Linked DNA regions of Caenorhabditis elegans. The protein of the gene in region 4 purifies or fractionates together with the protein of the main gene of each other region. This does not show direct contact. Each region holds a gene or a part of one and is shown on either strand. Other genes may lie near its edges. The genes, in order: nuo-5, nuo-6, nduf-9 and R53.4.

What was found.
Region 1: the proteins of R53.4 (region 4) and nuo-5 fractionate together in Caenorhabditis elegans (co-fractionation; one large-scale study listed by BioGRID). This does not show direct contact.
Region 2: the proteins of R53.4 (region 4) and nuo-6 fractionate together in Caenorhabditis elegans (co-fractionation; one large-scale study listed by BioGRID). This does not show direct contact.
Region 3: the proteins of R53.4 (region 4) and nduf-9 fractionate together in Caenorhabditis elegans (co-fractionation; one large-scale study listed by BioGRID). This does not show direct contact.

The regions. Positions count from the first base shown.
Region 1 is NC_003283.11:2,697,271-2,701,995, reverse strand, and holds the start of nuo-5 (NADH-ubiquinone oxidoreductase 75 kDa subunit, mitochondrial), read right to left. Parts: upstream 3,025-4,725; 5' UTR 3,019-3,024; coding exon 2,926-3,018; intron 1,722-2,925; coding exon 969-1,721; intron 1-968. Other genes in the region: Y45G12B.2 (Zinc finger protein-like 1 homolog), read right to left, coding at 3,416-3,538, 4,543-4,725.
Region 2 is NC_003279.8:7,067,560-7,070,924, forward strand, and holds nuo-6 (NADH dehydrogenase [ubiquinone] 1 beta subcomplex subunit 4), read right to left. Parts: upstream 1,628-3,365; 5' UTR 1,617-1,627; coding exon 1,517-1,616; intron 1,443-1,516; coding exon 1,373-1,442; intron 1,026-1,372; coding exon 677-1,025; 3' UTR 557-676; downstream 1-556. Other genes in the region: cutl-6 (ZP domain-containing protein), read left to right, coding at 1-54, 125-340; tofu-5 (Twenty One u-rna (21U-RNA) biogenesis Fouled Up), read left to right, coding at 1,883-1,984, 2,033-2,187, 2,237-2,462, 2,510-2,687, 2,753-3,027; W01A8.6 (Peptidase M14 domain-containing protein), read right to left, coding at 3,197-3,365.
Region 3 is NC_003281.10:3,242,537-3,250,228, forward strand, and holds the start of nduf-9 (NADH dehydrogenase [ubiquinone] 1 alpha subcomplex subunit 9, mitochondrial), read right to left. Parts: upstream 6,040-7,692; 5' UTR 6,038-6,039; coding exon 5,877-6,037; intron 5,748-5,876; coding exon 5,537-5,747; intron 5,248-5,536; coding exon 5,192-5,247; intron 4,627-5,191; coding exon 4,284-4,626; intron 1,323-4,283; coding exon 1,168-1,322; intron 563-1,167; coding exon 445-562; intron 1-444. Other genes in the region: Y53G8AL.4 (Apple domain-containing protein), read right to left, coding at 6,831-7,016, 7,235-7,308.
Region 4 is NC_003280.10:9,966,777-9,969,620, forward strand, and holds R53.4 (Putative ATP synthase subunit f, mitochondrial), read right to left. Parts: upstream 1,274-2,844; 5' UTR 1,272-1,273; coding exon 1,156-1,271; intron 1,092-1,155; coding exon 848-1,091; intron 802-847; coding exon 700-801; 3' UTR 501-699; downstream 1-500. Other genes in the region: dtmk-1 (Thymidylate kinase), read right to left, coding at 1-41, 89-208, 263-305; psf-1 (putative DNA replication complex GINS protein PSF1), read left to right, coding at 1,905-2,003, 2,050-2,114, 2,183-2,258, 2,310-2,399, 2,445-2,654, 2,735-2,800. UniProt on the Caenorhabditis elegans protein: Mitochondrial membrane ATP synthase (F(1)F(0) ATP synthase or Complex V) produces ATP from ADP in the presence of a proton gradient across the membrane which is generated by electron transport complexes of the respiratory chain.

The DNA.
Region 1 (4,725 bases), on a different chromosome or scaffold from region 4:
AATTTTCCGGCAAATATCTACTTTAAATGAATTTATTTATCGAAAATAAGCTTTTTAAGTTATTTTCAGAAAATTAGATTTTTTTTTTGATTTTCTCTGAAAAAAAAATCGATTTTTACCGATAACAGCTCAAAAAGCATTAAAAATTCATAAAAAGTAAAATGTTGCCGAACAATTTTTTATTCCAAACCAGGGGTGTGCGGCAAATTTGCCGATTTGCCGAAAATTGCCGACTTGCCGAATTCGGCAAATTTAAAAAAACCAGCAATTGCCGATTTGCCGAGCTCGGCAATTTTCAAAAAAGTAGATTTTCCGAATTTGCCGAGCTCGGCAAATTTCGAAATTTGCCGCACACGTGAAAAATTTGACAGTACAATTTTGAATAAAACTATTGATTTTTTAGCCAAAAATTTAGTAAAATGACACAAAATTGAGCTATTTTGATGCTTAAACAGACATACTACGCGGAACTTATTCAGAAACCAGATGTGTGTTAAGAATTCAGTAGTTTTGGTGCTCCACAAAACATAAAAAATATCAAATTTTTCCGAGTTTGTTAAGCACGGCAAATTTGCCGAATTTGCCGAATTTGCCGAGCTCTGCAAATTTGCCGAATTTGCCGTGCTCGGCAAATATTGAAAAAAGAGATTTGCCGAATTTGCCGAGCTCGGCAAATTTTGAAAAACCAGCAATTGCCGATTTGCCGAGCTCGGCAATTTTTTCCATTTGCCGCACACCCCTGTTCCAAACTAGACTACACAATTTTCAACTTTTTAATTATCAAAATTCAAAAAATCTGTAAATTTTCGATTTTTTTCAGAGAAAATTGAAAAATATCGATTTTTTCTCCAAAAAAAGTGAAAAATGGCCAAAAATACAATTTTTTTTTCGACATTCGAAAAATATCGATTCTTCTTCAAAATTTTCAAAGCTATGTCTTCCAAAAAATTCGTTTCAAAACTCCGTACATCGTTGATTTTCGGAATAACCCGCAGAAGCTCGCCAGTCCGATGCGAAAGCACAATATTCGATCCGGTCGCATCCATCACATCAACACTTTCAGTCTTTCTAGTCTCCCAGGGCCGGGCCGTAAACGCGTACTGCTTGCTGGTAAGAGCTCCGACCGGACAAATATCGATAATATTCCCAGAGAGCTCTGAAGCAAAAAATTTCTCGACGTAGGTGCCAATTTGAAGATCTTGTCCTCGTCCGGTGGTGCCGAAATCCGGAAAAGCGGCCACTTCATTAGCGAATCGGACACATCGAGTACACTGAATACATCGAGTCATCACAGTTTTCACCAACGGCCCGATATTCTTATCCTCGAGAGCCCGTTTTCCATCGAATCTCGACTGAAGCCGCCCACGATCGGATCCGAAATTCATCGCCTGATCCTGTAGATCACATTCGCCACCTTGATCACAAATCGGGCAGTCGAGTGGATGGTTGTTGAGCATGAACTCCATCACCCCTTCGCGAGCTTTTTTCACGAAATCCGAGTTGGTTTTGACTTTCATTCCGTTCATGACAGGCATCGCACATGATGCGACAGGCTTCACCGACTTCTCCACCTCTACCAGACACATTCGGCAGTTTCCGGCAATTGAGAGACGGTCGTGATAGCAGAAGCGTGGGATGTCGACGCCGACGAGCGCGCACGCTTGGAGAATCGTCATTCCCGGGTCGACGAGCACTTTTTTGTCGTCGATGAAGACTTCGACCTGGAAGAAAATGAGGTGATTTTTAGTGGTTTTTTTGTTGATTTTTACAGGGAAAATCGAAAAATTTCGATTTTTTTTATTTGAAAATCGAAAAAAAATTTTTTTTTTAAGTTTTTTGTTTTCGGAAAATGGAAGAAATTTGTTTCGTTTTTTTTTTTTTTTAATTGAAAAAAATGTTGGGTTTTTAGGTTCCGGAAAATCGAAAAATATATATTTACGATATATTTTTAAAAATTGAAAAAAAAACGAATTTTCGATTTTTTACAGGAAAAATCATCGAAAAAATTCTGATTTTTTGAACTGAAAGCTAAATTTTTAGATTTTTTACAGGAAAATTAGATTTTTTAAAATTGAAAAACGTAATTTTTCGATTTTTTTTTAATTGAAAAACGTGCTTTTTTCATTTTATGTTTTTTTTGTTGATAAATTTAAAAACGAAATGTTTCGATCATTTTAATTGAAAAAAAAAATTAGATTTTTTACAGGAAAAATCGAATAATTTTTATTTTTTTGTAAAAAAAATTGTCAGAGAAAATCGAGCATTTAAAAAAAAATTCGATGTTTACAGGAAAAATCGAAAAAATTCCGATTTTTGAACCGAAAAACTAAATTTTTGATTTTTTTACAGGAAATAACGATTTTTTTTTCAATTGAAAAACGAAGAAATTTAGATTTTTGTTTAAATTAAATAACGTACTTTTTCGATTTGTTCTTTTTTCGGAAATTAAAAAAACTAAATTTTCCGTTTTTTAAAGGAAAAATCTAAAAATTTTTGATTTTTCGAACCGAAAAACGGAATTTTTCGATTTTTTTAATTGAAAAACGAAAACATTTTTGATTTTAGTAAAACATCATTGCACCATGTATTTTGTAAAATTTTCAATTAATAATTAGTGCCAAAATATAGAAAATCACTCGATTCATCGAGAAAATCACATTAATTTCGGATGAAACAGTTGAGAAAAAGCTCAAAACTGTCTTTTTGAGCGCTTTCTCCAACATTTCAGCTAAAATCAAAGTGATTTTCCGATAAATCGAGCGATTTTCTATATTCTGGCACTAATTTTAAATGGAAAATGATGGAAAATTGGAGATTGTAGATGAAATTAAGCTTTTTTTTTGAATTTCTCGCTAGTTAATTCGTTATTTTTTTGCCAAATCCATTTTTCTTCAATTTTTCCGCCGAAAATTCCAGTTTTTTCACCTTTTTCGGTGGAGCCGGAGCCGCCACCGAAAGCGATCTCTTCTGTTGAGCCTTCGACACTCCGCGGACAATTTGTCCACCGACGCGATGCATGGTGCTCTGAAATTGCAATTACTTCCTGAAATTTTTTCCGAAAAATTGAGAGAAAATAAATATAAATCTCGGTAGAAAATTAACCGAATTTCAATTTTTAGAGGAAAAAAAATCAATAAATACCATTTAAACCACCGAATATACAAGAAATAGGGCAAAAAAAAAGAATAAATAATTAATAATTAATTACAACCAAGTTTTAGCTAGTTTTAGCTAGTTTTTAGCGAAAAAAATCGAAAAAAATCAGAAAAAATCCCGTTTGTTAGCATCATTAGCAGGCGAAAGTAAAAATAAAAAATTTTTCGAAAAACTTTTTTTTTCGTTGGGGAATGAGTAGACATTGAATATTACACAGAAAGGGAAGGATATGCACATTTTTTTCAAAAAAAAAAATTTTTTAGACGTGTGGAAGACGAGAATCTTCGACGGCGACGCGAATATTCGGATTGGCCATTGGATCGAAAAGGGGGTCCGATGAGTGCTCGCCGCTGTATCCGGCACGCTTCATCACCATTATAATCTGGAAAAATACAATTTATTTGGAATTAAATGAAGTTAGAATCTAAATTTGCTTGATAAGACTCATAAACACTCAAAATTTGCTTAAAAAGCCATAAAATTCGCTCAAAAATACTCAAAATTCACTCAAAAAAAGTCAAACTTTGATCAAAAAGCCTTAACATTTCCTTCAAAAATACTCAAAAATTGCTCTAAAATACTCAAAAAATTGCTCAAAAAGACAATAAATTTGCTCAAAAAGCCTTAAAATTTGATCAAAATGACTCAAAATTTGCGAAATTTGATTAAAAACACTCAAAATTTGCTCAAAAAGCTCAAAATTCGCTTAAAAATACTCAAAATCGCTCAATTTTAGCTAAAATACACCAATTTCGCCGACTTTTCCGTGTCGCAGCGGTCGGAAATTGACTTATATTTTATTTTCATGAAATTTCATCGTTTATTTTATATTTTTATTGTTTATTACACATTTTTTCGCTATTTAATGTACATTTTAAGCCACACGGCAGACGTTGAGCGCAAAAAATTGTGGGCGGGGTCTGGACCGCAATTCTGCGGCGCGCGATTTCGCAACTCCGCCGCGCTGTTTTTTTGTCAGTCGAAATTTTTTTTTCATGAGATTTTATCGAAATATCTCGAAAAAATCACGATATACTGGAAATTTTATTCGAAAAATGCGAAAAAAAACTTAAAAACTTGTAAAAAATAGTCGCGCGGTGGAGTTGCGAAACATCGCGCCGCAGGATTGCGGTTTAGGCTCCGCCCTCACGTCGTTTTCGGTTTATATGCTTCAAATGTACACTAAATAACGAAAAAAACGTGAGAAAAACGATAAAAATTGAAAATAAACTGTGATAAAATCAAATAAAAGCGAATTTCCGACAGATGCAACACGGAAAAGTCGGCGAAATTGATGTATTTTAGCTAAAATTAGGCCATTTTTTCAGGGAAAAAATATTTTTTTGGCGTTTTTGAGTCTATAAAAGTCGCTTTTTAAAATCCAACCGTAATCAAAGCCAAAACGGCCAGGAAAATCACGAAAAGCGCGATTTTTTTCGCGGAAGCCCGTTCCTGTGGGACCCCGGAGCCGCCATGTTTTGCTCTCCAGAGCCCGCGCATCCAATCCATCGTCGGGCGCCGTTTATATTTATTCTCCTCGTTATCGGCGTCACGGAGCTGTAAAAGTGG
Region 2 (3,365 bases), on a different chromosome or scaffold from region 4:
GCAAGTGGTGATGGAAATCGAACAAAAAGAGAAGCTGATCGGTCTGATTATGAGGTAATCATAGATTGTTTCCGGATTATATATTTTTTTAATCCTCCTAACATGAAAACAATAAAATATTTAGATCGACGTAGCAACATCAGAACTTCTTGTACTTGATCCAGCAGATCGTGGGCTCCTTGCTCCTTCTCCATTCTGTGTTCCACGACTACTTCTTCCAGTTCTTCCCCTTATTCTTATCACAATTGTATCATTAACAGTTGTCTCCACAGCACTAGTGATTCGAAGACAAAATCACAAAAAAGAGCTCGATATAATGCAGTCAGGCAGATATTATTGATTTTCACATTATTATATTATTTTATAAATTACACGTCCCGATTGTACGGTTTCAGCTCCCATTTTTCTCTTAAAAATTCCCTTGAACTCTCTCGAAAGTCAGGCACAAATTTCTCATTCTTTTTCTCTGTGATGTCTGTTCCACACATATTTTTACGGAATCTAATTCATCAGGCATCAATGTTATTTTATATAAATTTACGAGTGTTTACATTAATAAAATCTGAATTTTATTTGACGAGGATAACGACACAGCTAAAAAAAAACAAAAATCGAGAAAAAGTTGCTTACATTCGGATCTAAAAGTAAATTTAAGAAAACAGATAGATCGAGACGATTAGAAGTCGATTCCGATGGTTGGAGCAAAGAGACCGGATCCTCCGGTTTGTAGAGTTCTTCCTTGTTGACGATCCCACCAAAGAAGCTTTCCATCCAAACATGCTTCATTCGACTTGTCCATTGGGACAAACATAAGACGAGTGTAAATGTAGAAGAGAGCGAAAACGGTTCCGACGTACAGGAATACGGTGCGTGGTGTGAAACGGAAGAACTCGGCTTGAGTCATATCAGCAGAATACCAACGGAACATTGCTGGATCCATGGTGACTCCCTCCTTGTACTTGAAGCTATGAGGATCGTATTCACGACGGAGATATTCCTTCTTCAAAATCTCCTTGACACGATATCTGAAAGTAATTTTTTAAAAATAAAATGTAGTTTTTTTATCATAAAGTTGGATATTAAAAACTGAATTTATGTTAATTCAGTGTTTAATATCCAATTTTATCGCAACAGTTTTTTTAAAGCAATTTTTGATTTGATACTCTGTAAATTATATCAAGAAACTGTTTTTTTTTGTCTCTATTGCTAATAAATCACTTGAAATAAGTGTTCATCAACGCAAATGTTATCATATATTGATTTTTCAATAGAATTAAATAATTTTAAATTGAGAATATAATTAAAACTATGTTTCTCACTGTTTTTAGAATTTTTTTAAAAACTTTTAAGCAAAAAGCGTTTTTCGTATTACCTCCACAAAACTGCTTTCTTCTCCTCGTCGCTCAGATTGTATTCATGTCCTGGCAGAAATTCGGTCTTTCCTATACAGAACAATTATTATTTTACAAGTTAACAGTAAATTATGAAAAATAAATCGATAAAATAAAAGTTTTACCGTGAGTCTCAAAATATCCAAGCACTGGATCCTGCCACAGTTTCGGAGATTTAATATTTTGGTTGGCAGCTGGTCGAAGAAGTCTTAATGCCAACTTCATTTTGGTTCAACCTGGAATTAAAATATTAATAAACAAAATCGGAAAACAAGACGGAAATTAAGAAAAATAAAATAAAAAGTTCTGAACAACTGGTTCAAACGACACTCCGATATTTCGCAACAGCGCCTTGTTTATCGTAAATCTACATCACATTTCAAAGCGAAAGGAATTTTCCTCAATTCAATTTTCTTCAATTCTTTCCTAAATCGAGGCCATAATTATTTTTTTTCGCACATTAAACTTAACTTAAAACTCAAATTTTAGCCATGGAAACCGACGGCGATCCCACAAATGAAATTCCCGGTAGCTCTATGGCTTTTGAAGTCGCAAACCATACTGTAACCGAAGAACCATCACCACTGGACAGAGTCAGTTTTCTAATAAAATAAACTATTTAAAAATGTAAAATTTTGTAGATTCTCGCAGAAGGTCGCAGCTTCAATGGTGGCAATTGGTCCAGTGACGACTTGAGAAGTTTATTGGATGGAGTGATGAAGTATGGTACCAAAATTGAAGCCATAAACTATATTCACCGAAACATTGTAAAAAAACGATCTATCGAAGAGATAAAGTAAGTTTTTAAAATATATGTTCAACATTTAATCATTATTCTTTTTCAGGGCGAAAATTGACGAGATTCGAGAGATTATCAAGGAACACAAAGAGATTATTCTCCCTGAGTGTTACAAAAATAAATGGATCGAAGCAGGACATCATAATATCACTCCTCCACCATTTTGCCAAGTGGATCCAAATGACGACTGGAGCAGTATCATGGGAAAAATAGTCGATCATCATCATGGATCAATCAACAAGACCCTACCTTCTCTTAGAGATACTTATGAGGTTTTATATTTTATTAGTCAGCAATTGAAAAATGCTCAAATTTTCAGACACTCTTCGAGAATCTCGCTCTAGAATCTAAAACTCACGAAAATGCGGTGGTGACCAAACTTCTCACCGCAAAAGCTACAAGAACTGACTCTCAAAATATAAGATGGCCAGTCATTTACAGATTCATGAAAGCATGTGCCACATTGGAAGAGCAAATGCCAGCGCTCAATGAACTTGGTCAGTAAACCCAGAATAATTCTAACTCTGAGGGAACTTAACCAGCGCTACAGTTTTATTTTCAGAAGCGGCAGTTGTCTCCAAAGTACTAGACACTATCGAAACCGAAGCTACGACAACTCCAGATACTGAGAAATCTATTCTTGCCGGTATTTTCAGTGAATGTCAACAAGGCAATTACCGCTTCTGTGAGCAAGACTATCCTCCGAACGTTATGGCGGCAGTTCAACTGTTCGTGGATCCACTCCGTACCCGTTTTCATGCGATCCCTGAAGTTGCATCTGAAGTCGAATTAATCAACTTTACGAAGGACAACCAGCCATCTACATCGTCCAATTGAAATTTTTATTAATTTTTTGTTATATCCTGTCATATCATCCGGTCGTTTCACTGGTATTTAATACATTGTTATTAAGTTTATTGATTTCAAGTCTAACAAAGACAAAAATGGTAGAAACCCGCTTCTTGACAAGTTCGTCGTCGTCCAAAGACACGTGTTGATTTGTTTGTTATAGCTGTCTGAATCGAGGAGATCTACTGTCTGCTGATGTTCCGTTTGTAGTTGGTTCAGTCGGTTGAAAGTTCTTGGTTTCCTCAACTACCTGATCGAATATTACTTCAATTCCAAGCCATGTCTCTTTTCCAATTGGAATAAGCCAATGTGGTTTGACTTGGAAT
Region 3 (7,692 bases), on a different chromosome or scaffold from region 4:
ATTTATCGATTTTTTGAAAATCAACAAAAAATCGATAATTTCCGTAAATTATCGATTTTATTCGCTAAATTTTTTTTTCAAAAAAAAAAATCAATAAAATCCATTTTTCGACTAAAAATCGATAATTTTGAAAAAATTTTCGATTTTTTTCGAATTTTTTTGATGAAAATCGGGTTGTTTCCGCCACTTCTACAAAAAAAATTCCTCAAAATTGTGCCTACGCCTACCTGATTTAACAATTCAACGGTAGGCACAAGGCAGGCGTAGGTAGGCTTTCCGAAATTTCCAATTTTTTGACTCAAAAATCAGTTTTTTTTAAGTGTTTTTCACTTAAAAAATGGATTTTTCCGTAAAAATTGCCCGATTTTTGGCGGAAAACCGATTTTTAATTAAAAAAATCTAAAATTTGAGGCGTTTTTGCTCATTTTAAGCCCTAAAACCTACCACAAACTCCATCCATTCTCTGTTGAGTGGAACTTTACACTTGAACACTTTACCATAGAGTTCGGTGGCCATTGTGAGAGCCATGAAATATGGATCCGGCATTCCGTGACGCTTGTATCTGCAAAAATTTGAGCTTTTTCTCGGGTCCCGCCACGAAAATAATTGAAAAATTCGCGATTTTTCTCGAAATTTCACGCCTGGGTCCCGCCGCCACGAAACAATACCTCGCGGGTTACTGTACTCAAGAAATTTTTTTTTTTCAACTTTTTCGTGGCGAGACCCAAAAAAAAATGTAGTTTTCACGATTTTTACGTCTAAATTTATATTTTTTAGCCAATTTTCATAAAGTTCACGTTAAAAATCATCAATTTTCAGTGAAAATATTGATTTTTTTGATTTTTTAAGGTCTCGCCACGGAATAATATCTCGCGGGTTACTGTACTCGTGAAATTTTCGTTGCGAGACCCGATTAAAGCTACAAGCCTAGAATTTTGAGGAGAATTCGAATTTTCAAAATTTCCTGATTGATGCACAACCCATGTGCCTTTAAATTTGAAAAAAATAAAGTTTTCGTGGCGAGACCCAGTTTTCACGATTTTTAAGTCCAATTTTCATGAATTTCTCGTTAAAAATTATCAATTTTCATGATTTTTTTGCCCAAAAATTAGCAATTTTCCTTCATTTTAGGCCAATTTTCGGCGGGAAAATCGAAAAACCGGGTACCTGAATCCAAAATCAGACAAACAATGCGCTTTTTTGTACATGAAATCAATCAATTCAGACAATTGATAGCAGTGTGGTCCAACAAATTCATAAGTATGTCCTTTTGCTGTTGGATCATTTACAGCACTTTGAATTCCGGCGGCAACGTCTCCAACCTGCAAGAAAATCGGAATTTTTCGCCAATTTTCTCGAAATTTTGATCAATTTCGTTGAAAACTCGGCAAAAAATGGTAAATTTTGAGCCAAAATTTGCAAATTTCTGTGAATTTTTTTTGAAATTTTACGGATTTTCACTCCTTTTAATGAAATTTCGCGCGAAAATACCGTTTTTTAATGGAATTTAACCAAAAAATTCAATATATATACTTGCCATTTTTAGCAATGTTTCAACAATTTTTTTCAAGTGAATATGGGAAATTACCGAAAATTGGAATTGATAACATTTTTAAACGATTTTTTGTATGTTTTTCGTCAAAAATCGTCAATTTTCTTCAAAATTTTCAATTTTGGACCAAATTTCAGCCATTTTTTGTCATTTTTGGCCAATTTAAACGTTTTTAAAGCTTTTTTTTTTATTTCGCTTATTTTCGCAAATTCCACCGTTTATAGGCAGTTTTAGGCCGAATTGTATGTATTTCGAGTAATTTTTTGAATTTTCAAACAAATTGGGCCTATTTTGAACAATTTTCACTCATTTTTGGCCGATTTTTCTTTTTTAAACTAAAACTAAAAACTAAAAAAGCAACCTGCAAGAAAATCGAGATTTTTTTAGTGATTTTTCGCCGATTTTCTCGAAATTTTGATCAATTTCGTTGAAAATTCGGCAAAAAATGGTAAATTTTGAGTTATTTTTACTGAAATTGTGCGAAAAATGAATTGAATTTTGGCAAAAATTCAAGGTTTTGAGTCAAAATATCCAAAATTTGGTCATTTTTCGCAATAAAATGGTGCCTACTTATGCCTACCATCAATTTTTTTTCGGCAGAAATGGACAATTTTAAGCCAAAATTTGCAAATTTCGGTGAATTTTTCTGAAAAAATCATCATTTTTGATGGAATTTAAGCAAAAATTCGAGATTTTCAGTCAAAATTTGTCATTTTTAGCAATTTTTTGACAATTTTCTGTGTGAAAATCGAAAATTTTGTTACATTTTTGAGGAGAAAACGATTTTTGCCAAAATTCTACCAATTTTCGACTAGTTTTATCAAATTTTGGGTGAAATTCCGAAAATTTTCAGTTTTGTGCCAAATTTCAGCCATTTTCAGTCATTTTTGGACAATTTAAATGGTTTTAAAGCTTTTTTTCATAAAATTTCGCAAATTCCAGCGTTTATAGGTAACTTTAAGCCTCATTTCCTTGAATTTTGAAATTTTTTTTCTCTAATTTTTAAGCAAATTAAATAAATTCCATCAATTTTTAGCGAATTTCACATATTTTGAGCAACTTTATATGAAATTTCGAGACTTTTCATAAATATTTGGACTCATTTTAATTGTATTAAAAGCCAATTTTTATGAATTTTGACATTTTTCAGTTCATTTGGATTTATTGTAATGAATTTTGAGTCATTTTTTTCAATTTCAAGCGAATTTTCATGAAATTTCGTAGATTTAGACCGATTTTCACGGATTTTCGACTTTTTATTTTTAAAATTCAGTTATTAGGTCAAATTACACCATTTTTGGCCGAGGTTTTGAGTCAAAATATGCGAAATTTGGACATTTTTTGCATTTTTTCGCAAAAAAAAAATTGTGCCTACTTTATGCCTACCGCCGCCTACCATCAATTTTTTTTCGGCAAAAATGGACAATTTTAAGCCAAAATTTGCAAATTTCGGTGAATTTTTCTGGAATTTTACCGATTTTTACATTTTGATGAAATTTAAGCAAAAATTCAAGTTTTTCAGTCAAAATTTGTCATTTTTAGCAATTTTTTGACAATTTTCTGTGTGAAAATACGATTTTTGCCGAAATTCTACCAATTTTCGACTAGTTTTATCAAATTTTATGAAATTTTGGGTGAAATTCCGAAAATTTTCAATTTTGTGCCAAATTTCAGCCATTTTCAGTCATTTTTGGCCAATTTAAATGGTTTTAAGGCTTTTTTTTCATAAAATTTCGCAAATTACAGCGTTTCTCGAATTTTGAGTAATTTTTCCGATTTTCAAACAAAAATTGGTCATATTTTGAACAATTTTCAGTAATTTTTGGCCGATTTGTTGGAATTTTTGACTTTTTAAATTTAAAATTCAATTTTTAGACGGACTTATGCCAATTTCCTTGAATTTTGAAATTTTTTTCTAATTTTTAAGCAAATTAAATAAATTCCAGCAATTTTTAGCGAATTTCACGTATTTTGAGCAACTTTATATGAAATTTCGAGACTTTTCATAAATATTTGGACTCATTTTATTTGTATTAGGCCAATTTTTATGAATTTTGACATTTTTCAGTTCATTTGGATTTATTGTAATGAATTTTGAGTCATTTTTCTCAATTTCAAGCGAATTTTCATGAAATTTCGTAGATTTAGACCGATTTTCACGGATTTTCGACTTTTTATTTTTAAAATTCAGTTATTAGGTCAAATTACACCATTTTTCTCGATTTTCATGAAATTTTCTACTTTAAAAAAAAATTTTTTTTCGTCATTTTTGGCCGATTTTCACGTATTTTAGGTCATTTTTCATGAATTTTCGCCCAATTTTCAATATTCAAACAATTTTCAGCCATTTTTGAATTTTTATTGACTAAAATTCAGTTTTTTGGTCAAATTACTTCAATTTTTTTGAATTTTAAGTAATTGTTCAGCATTTTTGGCGAATTTCACGTATTTTGAGCTTTTTTTAAAATGTATTTTATGAAATTTTGATTAATTTCGTTCAAAATTCGGTTGAAAATGGATTTTTCTATAATTTTAATCAATATTAACGGAAAATAAAATTTTTTTGACAATTTTTAATGTGAAAATCGTAAATTTTCAAAAAATCTCGGTTTTTGTGAGTTTTTCGTTAAAATATTTAATTTTGTGCCAAATTTCAGCCATTTTCAGTCATTTTCGGCCAATTTTCACGTATTTTAGGTCATTTTTCATGAATTATCGGCCAATTCCGTACCCAAATCGGCATTTTATACGTTTCTTCTCCCTTCTTGTACAAATACACATAATCCAATGGAGTTTTTCGCCATCTTGACACATAATATTGAATAAATCCATCCAATTCACCGTAGATCACAGATGGGCGAATAATTGTTGCTTCTGGGAATTCTTCACGTACAGCAACTTCTCCGAGTCCTTTTGAATGAAGAAATTGCGATTTTGCGACAAAATGTCCCTTTTGTGGTTGTGTAGTTGCTCCGAGAGCCGACAAATGCACAAATTTCTCCACACCCATTTCTTTGCAAATTCGAGCCAAACGGCGGGCTCCCGTGTCGTTGACGTCATAGTAATTGTACTTTCTGCAAGGAAAAATGGCTTAAAATTGGGATTTTTAGAAGGAAAAAGTGGGGAAATTTGAATTTTTCAATAGAAAATGGCAGTTTTCTCGAAAATTTTGGAGAAAAATTGAGCAATTTAGTTTTTTTTGAATTTTTTAAAAATATTTTTTGAATTTTCAGTGAAAAAAACGGCGCGAAACTCAAAATTTTGAAGATTTTTCGGACATTTTTCAAATTTTTAGCCAAAAAGTGGAGCCAAATTCAAAATTTAAGGGGATTTTTCAATTTTTAATTGATTTTCAGTTGGAAAAAGTGAGGAATTTTGAGTTTTTCAATGAAAAAACTGGAAAAAAAGAGCTTTTTTTTTGAATTTTGAATGATAATTTGGTGTAAAAAAATTTATTTTTTGAATTTTCAGTAGGAAAAAAGGGTTAAATTCCACATTTTGAAGGTTTTTCAGGCATTTTTTCGAATTTTCAGCGAAAAAGAGTGATTTATTTGGTCAAAAACGGCGCGAAATTTGAATTTTTTGAATTTCCGGCATATTTTGTGAATTTTTCCGCTCAAAAATCTGCAATTTCCTCACCCAGTCGGCACACGAGTTCCGATCAAGTTGATGACGACGTTCGAGTACTTTACAGCCTGAAAAATTGATTTTTTCTGGATTTTCTAGAGAAAAATCCAATTTTTCTCGATTTTCACCTAGAAAACTCTTTTTTTTTCGGAATTTTCTAGAGAAAAAACCTAATTTTTCTCGATTTTCACTGAGAAAACTCTATTTTTTCTGAATTTTCTAAAGAAAAACCCATTTTTTCTCGATTTTCACTGAGAAAACTCTATTTTTTCTGGATTTTCTAGAGAAAAATCCAATTTTTCTCGATTTTCACCTAGAAAACTCGATTTTTCTCTCAATTTCCACGAATTTTAATACCTTTCGAATGCTCTCCTCATCCATCAGCTCAAATGGAAAATAGAGGACTTGTCCGAGCTCGCCGAGCACTTTGTGCTCTCTCATGTAATACGGATCCTGGCGATACGGAATAATGATTTGTGAGCCATTTTTCGCGAATTTATTGACAACTGGAAGTCCCAAGAAGCCTGACGCACCGAATACGGTCACCACATTGCCGGAGAAGGAGGCTCTGCAAAAATTTGGAATTTTTAACGATTTTTTTTGGGAAAAAATTGATTTTTTTTCAATGTTTTTTCAATTTTTCCTAGATTTTTTCCACATTTTCCAGTTTCAAATCATTCTTAGGCTTTTCCTGTACCTTCCACCGGCTCCCTTTCTGAATTGAGCACTCTGAGAGCTGACACGTGGCTCCGGATGAGCATTTTCGGCGGAGGTGACCGCGCTGCTGAAATTCTGACTTCCAACGACCGAAACCGCCTGCCGGGCGCCCAAGCCGGATCTACCCAACACTGATAGCATGGCTGAAATTAGGAAAATCGAGATTTGCAATTGTTTAAAGATTTTTAAAGATTTTTAAAGACTTTTTAAGAATTAAATGGGTTTTCTGCGTTTTTTCGGGATTTTTTCCAGCTAAAAATAGCTTTTCCGGTCGAAAAAATCGATTTTTTATCAAAAAAGCACCGAAAATAGCGAAAAAATCTGGAAAAACCGCTAAAAATGGCTGAAAATGAAGTACGCGGTGCCGAAATAAATAATTTGGCCTGTACGCAATATGGCGTCGGGTTTGACGTTTGCGGACTCGAATGCGCACTTGGAAGGGCGGGGATTGATGACCGTACTCCAAGGAGGAATGAGAAGCTTTGAAATTAGCAAAAATTGGTGAGAAAGGCGGTTTTAAAGAGAGTTTTCAATCTAAATTGTTGAAAAATTAATGAAATATTACTTTTCTTGTTTTACATTCAAGAAAAATTATTAAAATCTTTGAATTAAATAGAAATGCGAAGTTTTCAAGGGATTTCTTCAAAATGTGCGAAATTACAGAAGAATACTGGTAGATTAAACTGAAAATGACATCAAAATTCTCAATTATTAATATTATACGCTATCGAGATAATAAGCATTTATGGCTACAATGTATACGCCTCTCAAAATTACGTTCACATTGCTTTGTGGCTTTGCTGGTAACTCTTTTGCCTTTCACGCAACACACCGGGGTTCGACTCCGCACTGTGGTTCTTTTCTTTTTTTTTCTCGATTTAACCAATTTTAGTCAATTAAAATTCAAATTTAACGATTAAAACCAATTTATTTATCACGTGGAACCCAGAAAAGGAGAAAATTTCGGCCTAAAAAAGTTGAGACACTTGTTAAACGCCGGATTCCTGAAGCAATTCGAGCTGCACTCGGCGGCTAGATTCGGCTGGTCGACTGAAAACATTTCATGGCAAAGTAGGCATATTCTCGTGAGCACTTCGTTTAGAGCCGGTCGTCGGTAAGCCTGGAAATCAAAAAATATTCCGAATTCTTGAAAAAATGCGGAAAAAATCGGCGAAAAACTAGGGTTTTGAATGATTTTTCTCAAATTTTTCAATTTTTTTCAGCGAAATATCGAATAAAAATCGATATATCTCCAGAAACCCCCGAGATTTCCACCATTTAAGCAAAATTCTCAATGGAGCGCGTTTGCAGCTTCGTTGTTCGCTAGAGCGCACTTACTTTGCAGTTCCTCGAATGGTGGTCGGGGCGGGAAAATGAAAATCCGGCAAACGTGACGATAAGTAAGAAGAATACTGGAAAAATCAATGGAATTGTTTAGGCCACAGTGGTTTTTTGGCAGATATTTAGAGTTTTAAAAAATAATTTTCACAGAAACGTTGGCCGAAAGTTAATTTCCAGCGGCGAAATCGCGGAAAAATGGAGCTTTTCGAAGAAAAATTTCGTGGCCTATTTTTTCAGCTGGTTTTTCTTGGCCACGTCTTAAAATTTGAAAAAATTTGATTAAAAAGCAAATTAAGCACGTTTTTCAAAATTAAAAGTGAAGACATAACGCGTTTCTCGAAAAATTTGCAATTTTCTAGAAAAATGCTGCGTGGCCTAACTTTTCCGGTTATTTTTCTAGGCCACGTCTGAAAATTAGTTTTTTATTGAAAAGCAACGAAATTTTTCAAATTTTT
Region 4 (2,844 bases):
GAGATATTGATCAATTAGCTTTCCAATTGAAGAGGAACGATCTGAATTTTTGAAAATAAAAAAATATTTTTTAATTCTCTAGTTAAACCTGGAAAAGCTTGAAGAACGGCTGATGGGGAAGATGAAGCATCTCCGGATTCTGTGGATTTTTTGTTGATGGACTCAACGAGTCGCTTGGCTTGTGTCGACTTGCCGGACCGATCGAGCCCTGTTAAAATATTAAAATATTGATATTTCTTTAAAATTAAGCTAAATCAAATACCTTCGAATACAATCAGGAGCCCTCGTTTCTGATCAGTAGCCATAGGTGAAGAGATGAGGCTCTGGAAATAAGACAGCATGGAGAAATATAAAATAAAATAGAAACATGAAGACGCGCTTCTATAGAATCGGAACTTTAGATCTACAGATTCAAATCTAAAGATAAAGCCGACAGCGAAAAAATCCAGAAAATCGCATCGGCTATCTAACCTTCTTCTTAATATTTCTATTCAACCGATCCATACACTATTTATTCTCTCATAGAAAAAAGACACAAACGGACAAAATCGATAGGGGACTAAATTAACAGAAGACGTCTCGAGAATGAGATGAATTGGGGGAAAAAAGAATACGAAAAAATCGGATGGCTGTTTCGTCCTCCCCCAGCGACAGAGTTTGTATGTGGAGCTTTGAAGAGTAGACGAAATCGGATGGTGTCTACCAATGGTACATCGTCTTCTGGAAATCGACGTAACGGTGAGACTTGACGAGCCAATTGAGGAACGAGTAGGCGAAGATGAAGCGGAAGATTACCTTGACCTAAAAATAAAAAAAATTAGTATTTTTTTTTTAAATTTAAACGAACAGTGTTATTGTAGACTGGTCCTGAGTAATAGAGGTTGTGGACTCTCCAGATATTGCGCATGAACTCGTTGTAGAAGGCAGATGGGGTCTTCTCACGACGAGCCATCCAGGCTGGAAGATCTCCTAGCTTCACATCCATGAACTTGGTATCAAGCTTTCCGTAGTATCTCCAGTGGCAGTATGGTCCGTGAACGTTCTTGTTCCATCTCTTGTCGAACAATCCAACCTCGGTCTTGTTCAACACGCTAAAAATTATATCGGTTATTTTTGGAAAAGAATTTTATTCGTCGTTTTCAGACAATGACAAACCGGTTGTAGAAGAACACTCCGACACGCTCAACGGCGCGAGAGATCGGGATAAAGATCGCGTCCGGAACCCATGGTCTGAGTTGAGTGTGTGGTGGTGGAGGACGGAACCAGGCCATAACTGAAAATTCGAAGAATTAAAAAAATAAAAATAAACCAGATATTTAATTAAATAGTGAGAATCGAGTAACGATTAAGCCAAATAATCAATAAACAAGAAATTAATTAGAAAAACAACCAAAACAGGCATTTTGTTCAATTTAGCAAATATACACATGAATATCAGGAAGAATATACATTTAAAAAAGAACGTTCCAGCTCCAATAATCCTTAACTATGTGCTAAATATTGTTTTAAATATAAACATGTATTTTTGTAAACATTGATCATTATCGACCATGGGATTACGTTTCAGTAACGCCTAAAACGAATTTAACTCAGAATTTAGTGATATATTTGATTTTAGAAGAAATTAATTGAGTAAATAATGAAAAATCGTCAATATTCCACTTTTAAAAAATGCTTAAGAAAAATGTGTGCAGTTTTCAACGGGCGGCGATACATTTCGGCTAATCGCTGCGAGACCCATGGCCGTGGCCGAGTCTACAACTAGTTCACAAGAGCCGAAATGGTGGGAAAGTCGAGGACTTTAAATTTAATGTTTTTTATTTTCGAATTTAATATTTAAAATCAAGTATTTCCCTTTAAAATTTTATTTTTCAAATCAACTTTTAATTTTTGCAGTTCAAAAAATGAGTTCCGGCGATCAGAATCGAGGAGGCGTCGCCGACAAAGCACTACAACTTGTTTTAGAGATGAAAAGAAATCCAGATGTATTACCGCCTTATAACGTAAAATTATATCCTATTTTCTGCTTTAAATTTGAGTTCTTTTCAGACAGAACTTGTACGCCAATGTTATCAGAAAATCGATGAGTTGTTTCAAAAGAATGCTGCCGTCGTGTAAGTGATACATTTCGGAAGCGTACCGATTCGTTCGTGACTTCTTGATTTAAAATCATATTTTTCAGTGAAAAAATCCGTGCAGGACTCCCTCATGATTCTACGCTTCTTCAACCTCGTTTAGCTGCAATGTGCCATATTCGAGTAAGTCGAGAAGGTCGATTTTTGAAATATTGTAGTGGTTCAATTTTCCAGCGTTGCATGATGGCCTATGTGAACGAGAGGAAAAACAGGATTCGATCATTCAGATGGAAGTATGGAGGTGCTCTTCCCGCGTCTGTTAGGGTAATCGGTGCACATGATTAAAATTTGTCAACCATTATTTTTCAGAACGCCCTCTGCGATGCGGAAATTCAGTTTTTCAATGAGTATTCGAGCACATTGGCAAGATTCCAAAGCAATCTTGGAGAAGGTGGTGTTAATCTGCTGCTTCATTCTGCACCACCGAAGTCACTTTTTGTACAAGTTAGAGCTCTCGAGGATTATGGAGAATTTGAAACGTCAGATGGAACTCAAGTTCAGCTGTCCAAGGATAGTTTGGTAAGTCTTCGAATTTTTCTTTATTTGAAAAAAGAGAAATCCCGTTTTTAATTTTTTAAATAATGTATAACATTTTTCAGCACTCCCTTCCACGCCAAGACTGCGAAATGCTGATACGTCAGGGTGTTCTCGAGCTTGTTCATTGACTTGTTGTCGGTATTTTGTTTTCAACCTGTGATCTGTATAAATA